2 linked regions of the Caenorhabditis elegans genome follow. The protein of the gene in region 1 purifies or fractionates together with the protein of each later gene. This does not show direct contact. Each region holds a gene or a part of one and is shown on either strand. Other genes may lie near its edges.

Region 1 (8,048 bases):
ATCAGTATTACGCTGTAAAAATAGAAGTTCGCCTTACCTCAATGGATTTTATCGATCACGAAGTGACAGTTATGAGACTTCTCAGTTATCCAAATGAACTACCGCACATTCCAAAATGTGTCTTTTTTTCAAAACAGAAAGATCTGAGTAATTTAAAACTCAAATTTCCATTGGAGTGCATTCTTTGATTTACAGATTTTTTCGTTATGACACTTCTTGGTGAAAACTTGAGAGATTTGAAGCTGAAATGTCCAGATCGGCGTTTTCTGCGAGGAACTTGGAGTCGACTTGGTATTCAGGTATCATTAAATGAAGTTTAAAATCTATTTAACCTTGATTCAGATTTTATATGCCCTGAAATTGATGCATGAAAAAGGTTTCATTCATCGAGATATAAAACCGGAAAACCTATTGATGGGAGCAGCCGATGATAGAAAAAGGAGCCGCATTGTGCATGTTATTGATTTTGGATTAACAAGACAATGGGCATGGTCGAAAGTGAGTTTTCGATATTTTTTTGATAATTTTGACTTAAAATAGTTGTGATATTTACCGTATTTTCTCAGTTTATCTGGCATCTTCTTGCTAGACAGGTAGGCGCGTAGAGGAGGTAAGCAGGTAGGTACGTAGGTTGTTAGACACGTAAACAGACAATCGCACAAGTAGGCACAAGGGTTGTGCGGCTGGCTGATTTTTTCGGCTGTCGGCGCTAGCCTCTTCCTACAGATCCATGATTTATATCCAGGAAAAAGCCTTCTATGCTCGCCCACTTCGTACCAAGGTGCAATTCCGTGGATCTCTGAACTTTACATCTTCAAATGCTCATCTGGGATACAAACTTGGCCGAAAAGATGATCTATGGTCACTTCTGTTCACATTGGTTGATTTGAATGATCGTCTTCCATGGCATGGAGTGAAAGATCATATGATTCTCGCACGACAAAAAATGAATATGGGTGTGGCTCTGATGAAAATGCCAAAAACGATGGAGAGATTTTTCGAGCATCTGCTTGAGTGTAGAGCCTTGCAAAGACCAAACTATCAGTAGGTTTCCAGTTTCAACTTTTACTTTTCTAATATTAGCTAAACATTAGATTTTTCCTTTTTTGTGTCGAAAATACGGTACCCGGTCTCGACACGAAAAATTGAGTAATTGTGTGCGCAATTTTTCTTCGAATTTTCATATTTTTTCTCTATTTGTTGAAATTTATGTGTTCCCTTTTTTTAATGTGAAAATTTCGCAGCAATGAAAATTTTACTTTACAGTACTCTTCGTACCTATTCGCATTTAACAACAAAAGTCGTGTCGAGACCGGCTACCGTATTCATCTCGGGAGTAACACTGTTGACAGTGGACAGTTTGAATAATCGAATAATAAATTATATTTTTACATGGATACTTTTTTAAAAGTTTATACAGCTTGAAACTACTGAAAATTCTTCATTGATAAATATTTCATATTCAGTATGATGTTCAATATCCTCAAAGGAATTCAATCGTTATCAGAAGATACACCGACTTCAAAGTACACATTTGAAGAGGTGGAACTTTCTGAAGATGATCTTGAAGAACGATTCACAGGAGAATGGGAAGAAGTGACTGGAGAATTTTTCGCGGTTTGTAGATAAAGATCGTAAGGCTTTGAGATGTTTATTTCCAGATTGATGAAGTTAAAATCAATAATCCGGAAAAATGTTCAAAGCTGGCCAGTGAATGGAAAAATCCTGACGTTGATGTGTTCCAATCTGCAAGCAAAAATCAAAAAGGCAGTAAAATGATGTTGAGCTATGAATTTAGACTTGTAAGTGTTCAAAATACAAATCAACCATATTGTTGAAAATTGTTCAGACTGGAAAAAATGAAGAACAGACTGGAAAAAATGAAGAAAAAATGAACGAATATGCATATCGTTGGGAAAAAGCAAGAGAAAGATACAGACAAAGGATGTTACGATTGAAGCTTAATGATCGCAACAAGCAGCAATTTGAAGCTAAGAACTACATGGAACAACAAATAGAGAATGATAGAAGAGATCGTTTAGATGATATTGAGAATGTCGCTCTGAAGTATTTGACGACTGAAGGTGCCAACAGTGATGAAAAGGATGCGGAAGTGAATATGTCTGAGCTTCATAAGGACAGGAATGATGTATTGAGAGATGCCCAGAAATTGATCCGTAAAAGAGAAGGAACTTTCAATTCATCTCCAAAATAATTGGAATATACTTGAGCTTTTCCGAATGAACGATTGATTGAATATATTCACATAATTTTATTTCTAGGTAAAGGCACATAAAAAATATCTGAGCTGCACAACCGTACTCAAAATTAATTACACTTGAAACTGTCAAAGGGTGTTGTAAGAAAAATTGAAAAGCTCTGAAAATACCGGATATAGCTATAAAACCTAAGAGAAAAAACCAAAAATAAAGGTAATGCCTATGCGAATTGAACCAAAACTGCATTTTTTGGAACATTTTTGCCTGCCTGGCACTTAATGTGTTCAACAGTTGAGTCTTCCGGGGCACGAATGATGTATTCCATTTTCATTGCTGTCATCACTACGAGTGCTTGGCCTGTAGTTACCTAAACTTTGAGTTATTTAATTTTTCGGCATGTACTTGTACATACCTGCTCTCCAGGCTTCACAAGAATTTTTTCAATAATTCCTGGCATTGGTGCGACGGCAGAATGACTGGCTGCTCCTCCGGATAACGAATCAAATGTTTCATGGATTTGTGGAGTTTCATATTCGTTTTGACCAACTCCATTCACCTTAAAGTTAACTTTTCAAAACTATGATTTGTTGAGACACAAACTTACCATCAAACTATTTCCTAGATTTTTAACGACAGTACTCCAGCGCCTGCCATTAGCTTCCAATGTAAACTTGAAAGATCCGTCTGTGGTTGATTCAATGTCGTTGAGAAGTGTTTCATAACTGTTGCCATCATAAGACACTGTCAGGCGACTATCAGAATCAAATCTAATGCTGACATCTTTTCCGTCTGAATTTAAGCTATTTATTTTTCTTTATCAAACTAAACGCGTTACCTATTTTGAAAATGTATTTTGGTGACAAATTCATTCTAAAGAAAGATAAATTCTGGAAGACACCTGCATCTGATTTTTGAAGGGCAGCCAAAGCATGTGCTACAGCCGACTCAACGTAAATTTCAGCAGGAGTTTCAGATTCAGCAAATAGTTCCTTCTGGTGATCAGGGATAAAATCGGTATAAACATTTCCTGCGGCAAATTCAGGATGAGCAAGAACTCTGCGGACAAAGTCAATGTTTGTGGGTAGCCCTGAGATTCTTGTACGAGCCAAAGCACTTTCCAATTTTGCAGCAGCAACAGCACGATCCTGGCCCCACACTACCACCTAGAAAAGGAGATGATTGTTTAGAAGCTGTTCTGAAATACTTACCTTAGCAATCATAGGATCGTAATGGATTGATACTTCGTCTCCAGAAACAACTCCTGTATCGATTCTAGCATCTTCCGGGAAGTCAACATAATTAAGACGTCCCGCAGTTGGCATGAATGCTCCTTTACGAGTATCCTCGGCATACACACGACATTCAAATGCATGACCGTTTAATGGAATTTCTGATTGTTTCAGTGGAAGCTTCTCTCCTTGAGCTACCCGTAATTGCCATTCAACAAGATCCGTGCCTGAAATCAAATTATTTGATAATTTCCAATCTCCCATTATAAAATCTATACCTGTGATAGCTTCACTGACGGGATGTTCGACTTGAAGCCGAGTGTTCATTTCCATAAAGTAGAATTCGCCACGCGGGTCCATGATGAACTCGACGGTACCTGCTCCAACATATCCCACAGCCGCCGCAGCACGAACAGCTGATTCTCCGAGTTTTACACGAGTATCATGTTCTGCAAAAACATTAAATCTCATTTAAAACTTTTTCACGAGACTGACTTACCCATATTTGGCGCTGGTGCTTCTTCAATAATTTTCTGATGACGTCTTTGAACGGAGCAATCTCTTTCCCATAAATGAACATAGTTTCCATGGTGATCTCCGAAAACTTGTACTTCAACGTGTCTCGGCTTCTCGACAAACTTTTCCACGAGCATTTCATCGTTTCCAAACGACTTCTTAGCTTCGTTACGAGCTGAAGCCAGTTTTTCTTCGAATTCAGCCTCGTTCCACGCAATTCTCATTCCTTTTCCACCTCCACCATAGACAGCCTTCAGCATAACCGGGTAGCCTGAAATTTTAAATAAATTTATGTGGGGCTATACTTTAAAAAATTACCGATTTCTGCTGATTTCTTTTTCAAATTAGCATCTGATTGATCTTCTCCGTGGAATCCTTTTACTACAGGAACTTTAGCATCTTCCATGATTTGCTTCGATACATTCTTGGCTCCCATATCCCTGATAGCTTGGGCTGGTGGTCCAATAAAAACAAGGCCGGCCTGAGCACATTTTTCAGCGAATCCAGCATTTTCAGATAGGAAACCGTATCCTGGGTGAATAGCTTGTGCTCCAGATCGCAATGCACTGTTGATAATTTTGTCCATATTCAGATAACTTTCCGCTGCAAGAGGAGGGCCGATGTGGTATGCCTGACATTAAATTCAGTTTAACACTTCACGAATACTATGGATTCTTACCTTGTCAGCTTTTTTAACAAAGAGGGAATTACGGTCTGCGTCAGAAAAAACAGCAACTGTCTCAATTCCCATTTTACGAGCGGTATTTTGGACGCGAATGGCGATTTCTCCACGATTTGCAACTAAAACCCGTTGAATGGGACGAATTAGAGGGGCAGTTGAGGCACATCGTTTTTGGAATACACCAAGCATCTGAAAATAAAAACATATTGGGAAGATGTCTCAATTAAAAAGATATCAAGAAAAAGAGCAGAAAGCGGATGTGGAGCATGTTTCAGCAATAAAATAAACTTTTCTCAATCGAGCGTGTTTGCATTGCGCTGTCTGCGTCTCTCATTTTCTGTCTCTCTATTTTCTTCATTTTCGAATAAAAATCTTAAATTGACGATTTTCATCCGGTTTCCATTTTTTCCTTTATTCCGTTAGTTTCTTTTTTTACTTTATTTTAAATCAATGCTTCTATTATTATTTCTTCAGATAATGGATTTCAAAGCAAAACTACTTGCTGAAATGGCAAAAAAACGAAAAGCCGTGTCTGGAATGGAAGTAAAAGAAGGAAACGCAAAGTTTGTCAAAGGCGCTGATTTAGAAATGAAAAGAAATCAGGAATACGAAAGAAAACAGCAGGAAATAGCTAGTAAGAAACGAGTAAGTTTTCTTTTAAAAACTTCGTTGTAGGAATTTGTCTTATAAAATTTTCTGACACTAATAAAGAAGGATTAGGTATTGCTGAATAATATTTGCAATTAAATTATCATATAGTAAATCATTATAAAAGACATCATTTAGAAAGTTGACGACGAGATACTTCAAGAATCATCCAGTCGAACTAAACCCGCGCCCGTGGAAAACGAATCAGAGATTGATGAAAAAACACCAATGTCGGAAATTCAAACACGTCTTCGCCAGCGAAATCACCCAATTATGCTTTTCGGTTTGGCATTTTCCAAAATCGTATTTAAAAAAATTAATTTTCAGGTGAAACTGATATTGATGTGCGTAAACGCCTTCATCAGTTAGAACTTGCTCAACCTGATCTCAATGAAGGATGGGAAAATGAATTACAAACAGCAATGAAAGTTATCGGAAAAGAAATGGATAAGGTTAAAAATAACATTAATTCAAATTTCATGAAATGAAATATTGCAGGCAGTGGTTGAAGGTACAGCTGATAGTGCAACACGACATGATATTGCTCTTCCACAAGGATATGAAGAAGATAATTGGAAAAATATCGAACATAATTCAACTCTTTTGAGCGTCGGTATGAGATTTGAAATAATTTCTCGAAACTATATTACTTTTTATAGATGACGATTTGAAACGAGATTGTGATATTATTCTTTCAATTTGCCGTTATATACTCGCAAGATGGGCTAAGGATCTGAACGATAGGCCACTGGATGTAAAAAAGACAGCACAAGGTACAATAAATTAAAAAAAAAGTGTATTAAATGTTTATATTTTCAATAGGTATGCATGAAGCAGCCCATCACAAGCAAACAATGATGCATCTTAAAAGTTTAATGACTTCAATGGAAAGATACAACTGTAATAATGATATTCGGCATCATTTGGCCAAGATTTGTAGGTTAGTAGGTTATTTTTTGATTCAACATTATAATTTTCATCGAAATTCACTTAAAAAATAAACTAATTTTATTCAAAATGCGAAAATTATCTTGTAATTGGAAATTTCCGGGGTTTTCAAATGTAGCTGAGCAAAAAAAAAACTAATTTAAATATGGAGTTTTAAAATGGCTCCAAATTTGATTCCGTGCCAATTAAGCATTTTATTATCATGAAAATTCCAGAGTTGGATTTCTGTCCAATTGTGATGTGAAAATAAGCGGATCTGCGAATTTTGAGAAAATAAAATATTCAATTGACACGAAAAAACCATTTTTCAAAAAAAAAAAACTTACACGAAAAGAGAAAACTCGGTAAATTGGCATGAAATTTGATGGAAAGAACTCGTAAAAATTTAATAGGTACATAGGTATTCAAAATTAGAGACATTTAAAAAATTTTTTTCGAAATTCCGCGTTTGAATAATAAAAGTATAATCATATATTTAAAACATTTATTTTTTCACTAAAACCTTTCTCTGTTTATCGAATTTTTGAGATTTTCAGAAATTCAAATACTATACCAAAAAAAAATCAAAAATTAAACTGCAATGTGTATGAAAAAATTCTTAAATTTTCTTTATTTTCGGTTGTTTAATATATATTTCAGATTGCTAGTAATTGATAGAAATTATTTGGAAGCAAATAATGCCTATATGGAAATGGCCATCGGAAATGCACCTTGGCCAGTTGGAGTAACTCGTTCTGGTATTCATCAACGTCCTGGATCTGCAAAATCATATGTCAGTAATATTGCTCACGTACTGAATGATGAAACTCAGAGAAAGTACATTCAGGTTAGAATTTCCATATTCTTTTGAAAATCTCAACTTTTAAACATTATAGGCGTTCAAACGACTGATGACCAAAATGCAAGAATATTTTCCAACGGATCCATCGAAAAGTGTCGAATTTGTTAAAAAGGCTGTTTGAATTCTCATTATTTATCTTGTTCAATTGTTGTTTAATTATTTATAAGTTAAAAAAAAGGAATTTATTTTCTTTTGCAATACACAACGATTATATACATATTTATCTATGGTACAGGATATCACAGCGTCAAAATGTTCAATAAGATATATACGGATGTTTCAAGAAATAATCCATTCAAATAATGAAACAGTCAAGTTCTGATATGAAACGAGATCAAAGAGGTAGAATCCAAAAACCGAAATTAACACATTAACCCATTGGAGCTGGAGGAGAATGTTGAGGTGGAGTCGTCTTATGAGTTGCTTGGATTAGTTCGTCAAATTCAATTATATTGAAAAGTGACGTCACATGAACTCCTTCATTCATTAAATGTGTCAAACTCTGAAAATTCAAAATATTATGAGTCATGCGACAAAAAAGGTCTCGACACGTTTTTTTTGTAAAATACAAATGGGTGTGCGTCTTTAAAGAGTACTGTAATTTGAAATTTTCGTTGATGTGGATTATTTCCGATTTTTCATAGTTTTCGGTTAAGAAGATTTTTATTTTGGCATTTTTTAACATTAAAAAAATTGTGTAAGAACTATTAAAAACTGAAGAAAATTCTGCAGCGACGGAAGTTTGAAATTACAGTACTCTTTAAAGGCGTACACCTATTTCTATTAAACAAAATATTGTCGCGTCGAGACCCGGTGCCGTAATTTGGCAAAAAATCGAATAATATGTGTTCTAAAAACATACCGTAATTGCGGAAAGCATAATCATAAATTTCGCGATTCGAAGAGTTGCCTGAGCTGATGTGGTACATTTATTTGCACGCCCATAATTATATAAAGCTGATAAA
Region 2 (10,526 bases), on another chromosome or scaffold:
CGCATTCACGTTCACAGAAAGCACCTCCGAATCCTTTTTTGCAACTGTAAATTTGATTAAATTATTTTTAAACTGAAAAGTAATTCAATTGAGACAATTTATGACTGTGGGCCAGTGGTGGGTGACAATCAATAAATTACAGTATTTTTAATCAAAAATCGTGGCAAAATATATCGATTTACTTGAAAATAACAATTTTTCAGCTGATATATTCGTGAAAGTGATCAGAAAACAAATCTCGATAATTCACTCAACAACTTTCAGACAATTTTGGACCATTTTCTCACATTTTTAAGCTGAAATAAGTGTTATTTTCAGATAAATCGAGCGATTTTATGTATTTTAGAGCATCATGGCGCAATTTTCCTATCGATAAATACGTTGATACTCTCTGTATAACTAATCAAACGAGCTAGATAGTAATAAGAAAAGACAAGATTAAAGAACCGACACGCTAATCCAATTGTTTTATGAACGTCCATATAAATTCGCCGACAACCCTGGGAAGATGGCTGTAAACGGCTGTAAATTTTGCCTTTGGAACTCAAAGTTATTGATAAGAAAAATGAATTGTTTGTAGAGAAAAGGGAAAACTAAATAACAATTTTTTAGATTTCCCGAACGATTTACGAGATTTTACATTGTGACAGCCTCCTGCTGTTCATTGTGTTCCCATTCTGCAAGCCGGGTGGCGTTTAATGATGTCTTAGAGGGAAATATGGACAGTGATAATTCAACTTTCGGATATTATTCAAAATGTTCTCTACACCAAGCTTTTGTTTATCTATCGCCTGTTTCCCACCACCACCACCTGCCCAAACTTTCTTTTTTTTGTTCTTTTCGTCACGGTTCATGAGAAAGCGGATGAATAACATTGACATGGGAGAATGAAATATATGCTTACCGGCACCAGTATGTCTCAATCAGTTTTCCATTATAGCATTTTCCATTGACGGAGCAAGCACCTTCCCTTCCGCATTCTCCACCCATAAGTTGACTGGCGATTGGCGCAAAAAACGCGAGTAAAATTAGAAGAACTCGCATTGTTGTGTTCGCTGTTCGAGATTCTGTTATTATTAGTTGTTAGAGCAGCTCTTGGTGTTATTGTACATGAATCTGAAAGAAAATATGAATTAAATCAAGAGATGCGGTTAAGCGAAAAAAAAGAACACTTCAGCATTATCACAAAAGTACAAAAAAAGAACGGAGAACAGGAAAAAAACGAAAATGGAGAAGACAAGGAGCGACGAATGAAGGCCGGGTGGCATACTCCGCCCATTTTCTGAGTGTGTTGCGATTGTCTTGACACCTGAGATGGGCGGTCCAAAAAGAAGGATAACAGTACTTTTTTCGAATAGGAACACTAGAAAAAGAACTGTTAGGATAAATCGGAAAACTCATTGATTACATTATTTTATTGCCTATCCGACAGCTGCATGTTGGTTGCGAAATGTGGAGAAAACAACCAATTTATGGCCTTTCAATTGATCATTCCCGTGAAGAAGAAGTGGGGAAAACGATTTACATAAGAAAGTGAACGAAAAACTTTGTTAGAACGATAAACGGAGATTTGTTTGCAATGATTTACTTGGAACCTATTTTACGCCGTTTTCAAGCGATGAATATTCCGAAAATAATGTGATGGAGCTAAATAAACTTATTACGATCTCATTTAAAATATTAGAAATACAGAAAAATGTTCTTATCGTGTCAAAAAAAGAAAAAAAAACAAAGAAAATCATTTTAAAACTCAAAATAAATTTTGGCGCCGTGCACAGCTCGGAAGTCCGCAATTGACGACCGTACCCCTTCGCTTACCGTAGTTCTGATATTTGCTTATCTTTTTTAAATATTATTCTCAAAAACACACACAAAACTTATCTGAAGATTAAAAATACGAAAAACTGTATTCATGTTTGAATAGAAAAAAATCTACAGTATGTCTGTAAACATTATTTCAATATTCAGTCAATTCTGGAATAAACAAATTTGCTCTGCTTCTGGAAATGTTTATACAAAGAAAAAGCGTTATTGTCGGCATACAATACGGAATATAAAGGAAAACGGAAAAAGAAAACCGAAGTGCTAAATCGATAGTGATCACATAGGCGGTTTCAGAATAATCCACGTTTTCGTGCAGCAAGTCGTCCATTGTTCTCGAATTTGAACCTTCCTAAATCAGTCCGTGTTCTAATTTCCCGTACCTGGCCACATATGAACACAAATTATATTGGTAGAACATATGGAAACAAGGTACACGTGTAGTTATTGTCCGATAAAATGATAGTTTTATGACTCATAGGAAATTTGAATCTAGGAAGATTCCACGCAAAACTGTTGGTCAGATGCAATTTTTCACGATTTTTCGAAAAGATGTGCGCCTTTATGGAGTACAGTAATCCATTTCGCAATTTTCTTTGAGTTTTTCACTATATTTCTCTCGTTCACAAAGATTTTGATGGATTATATTAAATTTCTCGTTTTTGGGAGAAAAAAGTAAAAATCAAAGGCAATTTCAAAAAAAAAACCGGAAAATGGTTACTGTGCTTCTTAAAGGCGCACACCTTTCCGTCAATTTAAAATATTATGTTCGTGGCGAGATACGGGGCATACCGTATTTCTGCGTGGGAAATTGCAAAATTTTGTCAAAAAAAAATTTCTTCCAAAATAAGTTGAAAACTCTCACTGGACCGGACGTACAAAACTACATGTTTCTCCCAAAACATTGTTAATGTTGTTTCTCATACTCGAGGTTACCTAGGTATTCAAAACATTTGTACTGAAGAAAAAACATTCAGCATTCGGAAGATAAACTATAAGGTCATGTGAGAAAAGAGAAAAAGTATTGGGGATTCTGAATGTTTCCATAAAATGGGTTTTGTACAGCACAAGGAGTTAGGATTAATTTTACAACTTTAATTGAATTTTTAAGCAGTTGTGGATATTTTCAAATTCTTAAGTTTTCTGATTTATACCTTTTACTTATACGGAACTTGCTAGAATTAGCCAGGTGGCTGAAAATTTTGGTACCACCTTATAAGGTCCTAATGCCTAAAAGATAAATGAAGAGTTGCTGAGAGTAATTGGTGTATCAAATTGGGCTATAGAACATATGTTTATTAAAAATTGAACGGTACGGTATTGAATTTTGAAGATAATTTTTTTTCTGAATTTAATATTTTCTTAACATCTTAAATTCGATTTATCAAATTGACATTTTGAATATTCTGAAAGTTAAATATTTAATGGCTATGAGAAAATTATTATTAATTAGTAGATAGAATACGATTGCGTACCGGAAGGACCTTAGCACAAGTGACGTGGTTATCTAACTGGCTAGTTAGATAACCACGTCACTTGCCTAGGTTCCCATGACTTGGAAAGTTCATGACCGGATAAATTTCAGACAGGAAGACGTGCATGTTATTCTAATTAGTCACTGCTGTCAATTATATGATTCAGGTGTTCAAGTATAATGGTGTGAGAAAATATTGCATGTACTTGTAATCAATGCAAGTACATATTATGTTGTACTTGTATAAATTAGAACGAATTCATAGGGAACATAGAGGTGGAATACAGCATTTAATTGTATATTGTATATTTTGCTGACAACTTATGGAACGGCTTTAGAAGGATATCTGCTGTGCATATATCAAAATTCTAATGAAATGACAAAAACTCTAATTTGAACGCCCGCGTTTTGTCGGGTACGAGACTCCGATATCCCGCGTGCGCCCAGTTTAGTCAAGTTTTTGCTCGGTGTTTTTTTCTTATCATCAACTTTGCAAATAAGTTTTTCCCCTTTATTTTTTACGATTTCAACGATTTTTAGTTCGAAAAATGTGCGAAAATTATTATTGCAATCTTAATAATCTTCTTACTTGCCGAATTCGTCAGAATTTGCCCATTGAACGCTGATTTTTCGAGTTGGACAGTCTTTTATTCCAAATCGATGTTTTTCATAGCTTTTAATTGCAGTAATGTTCCGTCACGTGGCTCAAAATTTGGGCTCAAGAAACACATCCATTCAGTCATGTGAGTTTGAGCAATTATTAGTTTTGATATTCAATATCTGTTTTCCAGACCGGTTGCTGCGTACTCGATGGGAGCGAGGATACCTGAAGGACCTTTACCATCGCCGACAGATTCTTGGAGCTGATCCAGCAATTTCCCGATCTTCATACCCAAACTGGTAAGTTTTTTCTCAGAAAAATGTCATACAAAAGCCGTTTCCCATTTCCCACTGTATTGACTCACTGTGCTGCTAATTGCAATTGAAAATCGCTTGAAACTCAAGCGGTTTAAGTATTTTCTTAACCCATCTCAGTTCTGTGCAAGTACGTAATCATCATTGCTCTGCTGACAAGTCAACTCTTCAATGGGCTCCTATCAAGACTTCCATCGACAACTCTTCGGACGATTTTGCTGCTAACACTGCTGAAATGAAGGTTCTCGTGGAAGATTTGAAAGCAAAAATATCTAAAATCGAGCAAGCTGGAGGAGAAAAAGCCGTGAAATTACACCGCAGTCGTGGAAAAATGCTTGCAAGAGAAAGAATTGACGGCATTGTCGATGCTGGATCACCATTCATAGAGTTTAGTCAACTTGCTGGATACGAGGTAAACGATATTCGTATCCGATTTGAAATTGACTGTTTCTTTTCAGATGTATGGAAAAGAGGAAGTCCCATCTGGTGGAATTCTCACTGGAGTTGGAATAGTTTCTGGTCGTGTTTGTGTCATTGTAGCGAACGATGCGACTGTCAAGGGAGGAACATACTATCCTATCACCGTAAAAAAGCATCTTCGTGCACAAGAAATCGCCCGCGAAAACAAATTGCCTTGTATCTATCTCGTAGATTCTGGTGGCGCAAATCTTCCACGCCAAGCAGATATCTTTGCCGACAGCCAGCATTTCGGAAGAATTTTTTACAACCAAGCAACAATGAGCAGCGAAGGAATTCCACAATTGGCTGTAGTTATGGGAAGTTGTACAGCAGGAGGAGCTTACGTTCCAGCTATGTCTGATCAAGCCATTATTGTCAAAGGAACCGGAACTGTTTTCCTTGGAGGACCACCACTTGTGAAAGCTGCAACTGGAGAAGAGATCTCTGCCGAGGAACTTGGTGGAGCTGATCTTCACTGTGGAGAATCGGGTGTTACTGATTATTATGCCCATAATGATAAACATGCTTTGTACTTGGCAAGAAGTTGTATCGCGGGACTACCACCAGTCGAGGAGCATATGACCTTCAATCCAAACGGTATTACAATAGTAAAATATTCATGTTTCTAATTCTCATTCTTCAAAATTTTCAGCTGATGAGCCTTTGTATCCAGCTGAGGAAATTTACGGAATCGTGGGATCTAATCTCAAAAAGACATACGACGTCCGCGAGGTTATCGCTAGAATTGTCGATGGCTCTCGATTCCACGAATTCAAGGAGAGATATGGAGAGACGCTTGTGACCGGATTTGCTACTATTTATGGGCAGCGTGTAGGAATTCTAGCTAATAATGGTGTTCTGTTTGCTGAAAGTGCCATGAAAGGTTCTCATTTTATTGAGCTGTGTTGTCAACGGAAGATTCCTCTTCTTTTCCTTCAAAATATCACTGGATTCATGGTATGATTCGACAATTTTTCAATATTCACAGAGTTTAATCTAATTTTTTAGGTTGGAAGAGATGCTGAAGCCGGCGGAATTGCTAAACATGGAGCTAAATTAGTTACTGCGGTCGCTTGTGCAAAGGTTCCAAAAATCACCGTTCTCGTCGGAGGTTCATACGGAGCTGGAAACTACGGAATGTGTGGAAGAGGATACAGTCCAAGGTTTGGAAAATATAGTTGGGATACTTTCAATCTAGCTATTTCCAGATATGTGTTCATGTGGCCTAATTCTCGAATTTCCGTAATGGGTGGAGAACAGGCAGCGAATGTACTTTCAACTGTTCAAAAAGAGAAAAAGAAGCGCGAGGGAGCTGACTGGACGGATCAGCAAGATCTTGAGCTTCGTAAACCTGTCGAGGAAAAGTTTGAGAAGGAAGGACACCCATACTTTGCTTCCGCTCGTCTTTGGGATGATGGAGTTATCGATCCAAAAGACACCAGAAAGGTATGGTTTCTCAAAACACTTCTAGAAAAACCCAAATTTTTCCAGGTTCTCGGACTCGCTTTCCAGTCAACCCTGCAAAAGCCAATCCCAGAAACCAAATTCGGTGTATTCCGCATGTAACTTGTTGATTCAGGACCATCTCACTCATGTATTTTTTGTTGTGAGATTTTTATACGGATTTTCTTTAATATAGAGCTTTTTGTTAGTATGTTACGACGGTTTAAATTTATTTAGAGTATAGCTTTGATTCTGATTGCTTCCGTTGATTTCTAACCTGCTTCATACCAATCGAGTGCCTTTATGTGTTATCTAGGAATTTTCTCTTTAGTTATGAAACAAATAAAGTTGATATGATAAATATATATATTAATTATTTTACCTCGTTTCTATTGTATATTAAACTGATTCACTATGTTTTTATTTATTCTGCACAACACAGGGAGAAATGGGAAATGGCTTATATTTACAGGAGAAATTTTAGAATAAAGACAAATTAAAAATTTGCAGGGATTACGACAGTGAACTATATGCTTTTGGACACAGAATTGGAGCACCGGAAATATCCGAGGATCAGTATATTAAGGTAAGTTAAAAATATTTCAAAGTAGGAATCTGAAAAATTTTCATTTTTCAGGCGCTTACAAATGAATCATTTTTTCAAAGAGCCGACGTCGAAGAAAATGTAGAAAGTGCTCAGCCGGGAGCAGAAGTTGGAACTGAACATAATGCAGAGCTTGTGAAACGTGGAGAGCAAAATCTGTCGATTTGGCTTAAAAGATATTTGCGATTCCATTTGGCAAAGGCTCCTGAGGAATTGATTGAAGCAATTGATTCTCATCTTTTGGATGATGAATGTCTTGCTGGTATTGCTAGTCATCTCGGTGAGACTTCCTCACGAATTGTATCTTGTTTTCAGTTCAGCATTTTATATTTAGTTTCAAAATAATTTCAATTTCAGGTATCGACCACCTTGTCCGTACAAAAGAATTCCCGATCAGTCAAGAATCCTCAGCCGACGCTTTCCGTGCTCTCGCTGGAGTTTTCTCTGATGAAAAAGTGAAAAATCTTGTGATCGATTTCATAGTTCCCCAACTAGTTGATATTGATTTTGCTGGTAATGGTATTATCTTCCAGATTTATATTTTTATTTCATAAATTGCAGACATATACCCACTTGCCGATCCTCTTGCTGTTGTAACTGATTTGTTAAAATCTAACGGTGTCACTGAAATTGAGCCACGAGTTCTTCGATCGGCCGGAGAGAACAGCGCAGAGCCGATCTATGTTGTTGCAATTTATGCGGACAAATTGAAGAATGTTGGACAAAGTGCTGGAGAATCATTGGCAATTGCTGTTGATATGGCTGCTAGAGAAGCATTGCTCAGACTCTGGGATATTACTTCAGAAAAGTAATTTTTATCAAAAAATATTTGATACGATGCTCCTGTAGCTATTACCGAGAAGCGAAAATTTTCAATTTTTGCACAAAAAAATCGGTACCCGGTTTTTTTGTAAAATGTAAAAGAGTGTGAATTATCATAGATTTTTCGTAGTTTTTAGGGGGAAAAAAATGAAAAATCAATAAAAATTTAGCAGCAACAAGAGCTTGAAGTTACAGTACACATTTCAAAAACAATTTCGTGTTCAGACTAGGTACCGTATTTTTGGCGCAAAATTTCGCATCTAGATGATATTTAAAAAATTAAAATTTCAAGCTTAATCAGAAGCAGGGCTGGGGCAAAAAAAAGCCGAAGACAACGAAAAAATAAAATTCGCCGAAAACCCAGAAAAAGCGAAAAACAGATAATATTCTGTTTAAAACGCTTTTTTGGAACATTTTTGAACCTACTACGCTAGTTACATTTTCGAGTGTCTTTTTTTTTTGAAAACAAAAGTCAAATTTCGAAATTCATGAATTTTGAAGCTAGATAACCCGATTTTCCAGCAAAAAATATTCAGCGAAAGTTTAAATTCTATGAAATTAAAAATAAAGTAATTTTTTCAGAGTCCTCTTCTTTGGCGATCGTGCTGCCAATGTACCACTGGAACGATACTCTCAACCGAATTTCTCATTGTCACAGAAGTGCTCTCCAGGGTATTTGCCAAAACCAATCTTCAAAATCAATGAAAATCTACTTCTTAATTTCAGAACAAACACGAACATTATTGACCATAGCCAACCTGTTGAATCACCAGACAATCTAATTGAAGCAGTTCTCCGATACCGAAATGTGGTTGATGCAGAAGTAGGAAAGAGCTACACTAAACGATTGCGACACAAATTCTCGCGTGGTTCGCTTGCGAAACGGTCCTTCAGATATCTTGTCAAGCCGAAGCCTTACACGGTTGCTTAATTATTATTATCTAGAGAGAAGCCTTTAAACCTTCAGATTTCAATCGTATTATCTCATTTTTCCTCTTTTTTTGTTTTGTTCCAAATAGTTTTCCTTTCATTTTTGTTTGTGTTGTTAAATTTTTCAAATCAAGCTAGAATAGTGAAAGTTTCAATTTTACTCTGTTATTTGTTCTACTACATTTCCCCATTTCCACACTTGTACATGAGTGCTCAATGAAGTCGAAATTGGCAACAGCTAATCCATTCAGTTCCCATCTTGTTAAAGGAACATAAATTAGTCACATTTAAAATTCAAATTGAATTCATAATGCATCCCTTTCCTCTCTTCTTGTTGTTCCCTTCTTCCTTCCATCTCCGCTTTGCTCTTTGTCCTCCCATCGGCTCCTTGATAAATGATGGGGTCCCCCTTGGCCAGATGCAACCCCATTTATCTAAGACCCCGCTGCTGGCTCCGTGAGCACATACACAAGAGATGTGACCCTTTGATAAGCCCCAATGGGACGATTCTTCTTGTTTATTAGAAATTTGATATGCAGTTTGTTGATGGAAGATTAAATTTGAACAATATTTTATAAACAGTGGAAGGTGGAAATTGGAGCGTTCTATAGAATTATAGAAAAATTCATTCATTTGTTTATCAGTCAGTTATCAACCGATTATAGATCACACCAATGTAATGGACATTACAGAAAAAAATACGTAAGAAACCACAGGTTTACAGATCCGGAAAAAGAAAATTCAGACGTCATTCTCTATGATTACGGTAGTTGGTGAGCTCTGTTGAGTGCACTCTTGCATTTTATTTTACGTGCAAACACATCGTACTGCTTCTTTAAACTAAGTACTTGTTTTTGCCAATAATAATAATATAAAATATTTTGTATATTTTTTCGATGAACATATTATATACATATTTTTTATGATAATCATATTTTCGATAAACTTTTAAAAAAACGAAAATCAAACAATATAAAAACATAGATTTCCTGAGAAAAACTATGAAAAATCGATTAAAATTCCACAAAGTTTGAAATCACAGTACTCTTAAAAGGCGCACACCTTTTCACATTTAACAAAACGCATTCGCGTTGAGACCAGGTACCGTATTTTCGACGTAACAATCGAATGATATAACTACGCAAGATTAGTTTTGTTCTGTCAGAGTGAAAGTTTAAAGAATCTGACATAATTCTTCAAGTCAGTTGTTCAATGACCTTTTCAGCCAAACAAATTGAGAAGTACCACATCACACCTGGCTCCATCTTCCATGCATTAATGGGAACAATTTGAGCAATTGGTGGTGATGATAAAAAAGAGATAAAGTTGCACTTTTTCTTTGATTTTTTCATGATTCCTGATTCACCTTTAGTTTTTTTTCTTTTTTACACTGTCTTTGTGCTTTTGAGCTTCTTCTTCTTTCATTTCTCAAAAAGCTGCAAGACATCACGTGACACAATTGAGCCATAGACATACTTTGTGGTTTGTAGTGTGTTATGAAGTGTCTGAAGCGTTCAGAAGATCCCTCTGATGAAACTGAAACAAAACATCTCATTGACTAAGGTTTGCAGGTACATCAAAGTGTAATGGGGTCAATGAAGAGCCTGATGAAATTGATAAAGAGATAAGATGATAGGGATTGGAATGTTCTAGATTCGATTGAAAAAGAGATGGAAAAGTAGAGATCACGGATTGACAAATGCTATGAAGTTCTGCAAATGAGCTTTACAAAAACGCGACCACGATGTCGCACTTTTAACATTTTCTATCAAAAATGTTGAAGAATCGAATTCGAGGAGCATAAAGAATGAAAATCTGTTTTTTTTAATTGAAAATACCATGAAATTCAGTTAATTACAGAAAGCTCCAAAAATGATTGGAAAAAATTAAGCCGCCAGATGTCAAATGCTTTAACTTTTTTCAAAGAAGAGTTGATAACAAATTGTCAATAACAAAAACAAAGAAAACGTTATGACCTATATTTTGTATGTAGAAATTTTTTTTGCAAAACCTATTAGTTTTTGACTTATTCTCTTTTGGAAATTTTGAAAAATTATC

Evidence for each region. Proteins that work in one complex are often made in the same cells at the same time.
Region 2: the proteins of mccc-1 (region 1) and mrpl-44 fractionate together in Caenorhabditis elegans (co-fractionation; one large-scale study listed by BioGRID). This does not show direct contact.

The regions. Positions count from the first base shown.
Region 1 is NC_003282.8:9,881,357-9,889,404, reverse strand, and holds mccc-1 (Methylcrotonoyl-CoA carboxylase subunit alpha, mitochondrial), read right to left. Parts: upstream 4,836-8,048; coding exon 4,644-4,835; intron 4,596-4,643; coding exon 4,283-4,595; intron 4,236-4,282; coding exon 3,948-4,235; intron 3,898-3,947; coding exon 3,727-3,897; intron 3,676-3,726; coding exon 3,428-3,675; intron 3,383-3,427; coding exon 3,055-3,382; intron 3,009-3,054; coding exon 2,824-3,008; intron 2,776-2,823; coding exon 2,632-2,775; intron 2,587-2,631; coding exon 2,440-2,586; 3' UTR 2,260-2,439; downstream 1-2,259. Other genes in the region: ttbk-3 (non-specific serine/threonine protein kinase), read left to right, coding at 1-147, 196-299, 343-498, 746-1,044, 1,467-1,617, 1,662-1,802, 1,850-2,215; prp-18 (Pre-mRNA-splicing factor 18), read left to right, coding at 5,124-5,291, 5,433-5,577, 5,622-5,746, 5,793-5,907, 5,954-6,067, 6,117-6,234, 6,882-7,068, 7,118-7,204; Nuclear hormone receptor family member nhr-4, read right to left, coding at 7,454-7,585, 7,946-8,048.
Region 2 is NC_003281.10:9,082,831-9,093,356, reverse strand, and holds mrpl-44 (Large ribosomal subunit protein mL44), read left to right. Parts: upstream 1-3,981; 5' UTR 3,982-3,983; coding exon 3,984-4,038; intron 4,039-4,086; coding exon 4,087-4,195; intron 4,196-4,330; coding exon of another isoform or gene 4,331-4,622; intron 4,623-4,668; coding exon of another isoform or gene 4,669-5,266; intron 5,267-5,321; coding exon of another isoform or gene 5,322-5,626; intron 5,627-5,677; coding exon of another isoform or gene 5,678-5,832; intron 5,833-5,877; coding exon of another isoform or gene 5,878-6,115; intron 6,116-6,160; coding exon of another isoform or gene 6,161-6,235; exon of another isoform or gene 6,236-6,613; intron 6,614-6,622; coding exon 6,623-6,698; intron 6,699-6,749; coding exon 6,750-6,996; intron 6,997-7,073; coding exon 7,074-7,229; intron 7,230-7,277; coding exon 7,278-7,524; intron 7,525-8,120; coding exon 8,121-8,210; intron 8,211-8,264; coding exon 8,265-8,469; 3' UTR 8,470-9,047; downstream 9,048-10,526. Other genes in the region: glp-1 (glp-1/Notch intracellular domain), read right to left, coding at 1-44, 905-1,044; mccc-2 (putative methylcrotonoyl-CoA carboxylase beta chain, mitochondrial), read left to right, coding at 3,984-4,038, 4,087-4,195, 4,331-4,622, 4,669-5,266, 5,322-5,626, 5,678-5,832, 5,878-6,115, 6,161-6,235. UniProt on the Caenorhabditis elegans protein: Component of the mitochondrial ribosome. May have a function in the assembly/stability of nascent mitochondrial polypeptides exiting the ribosome.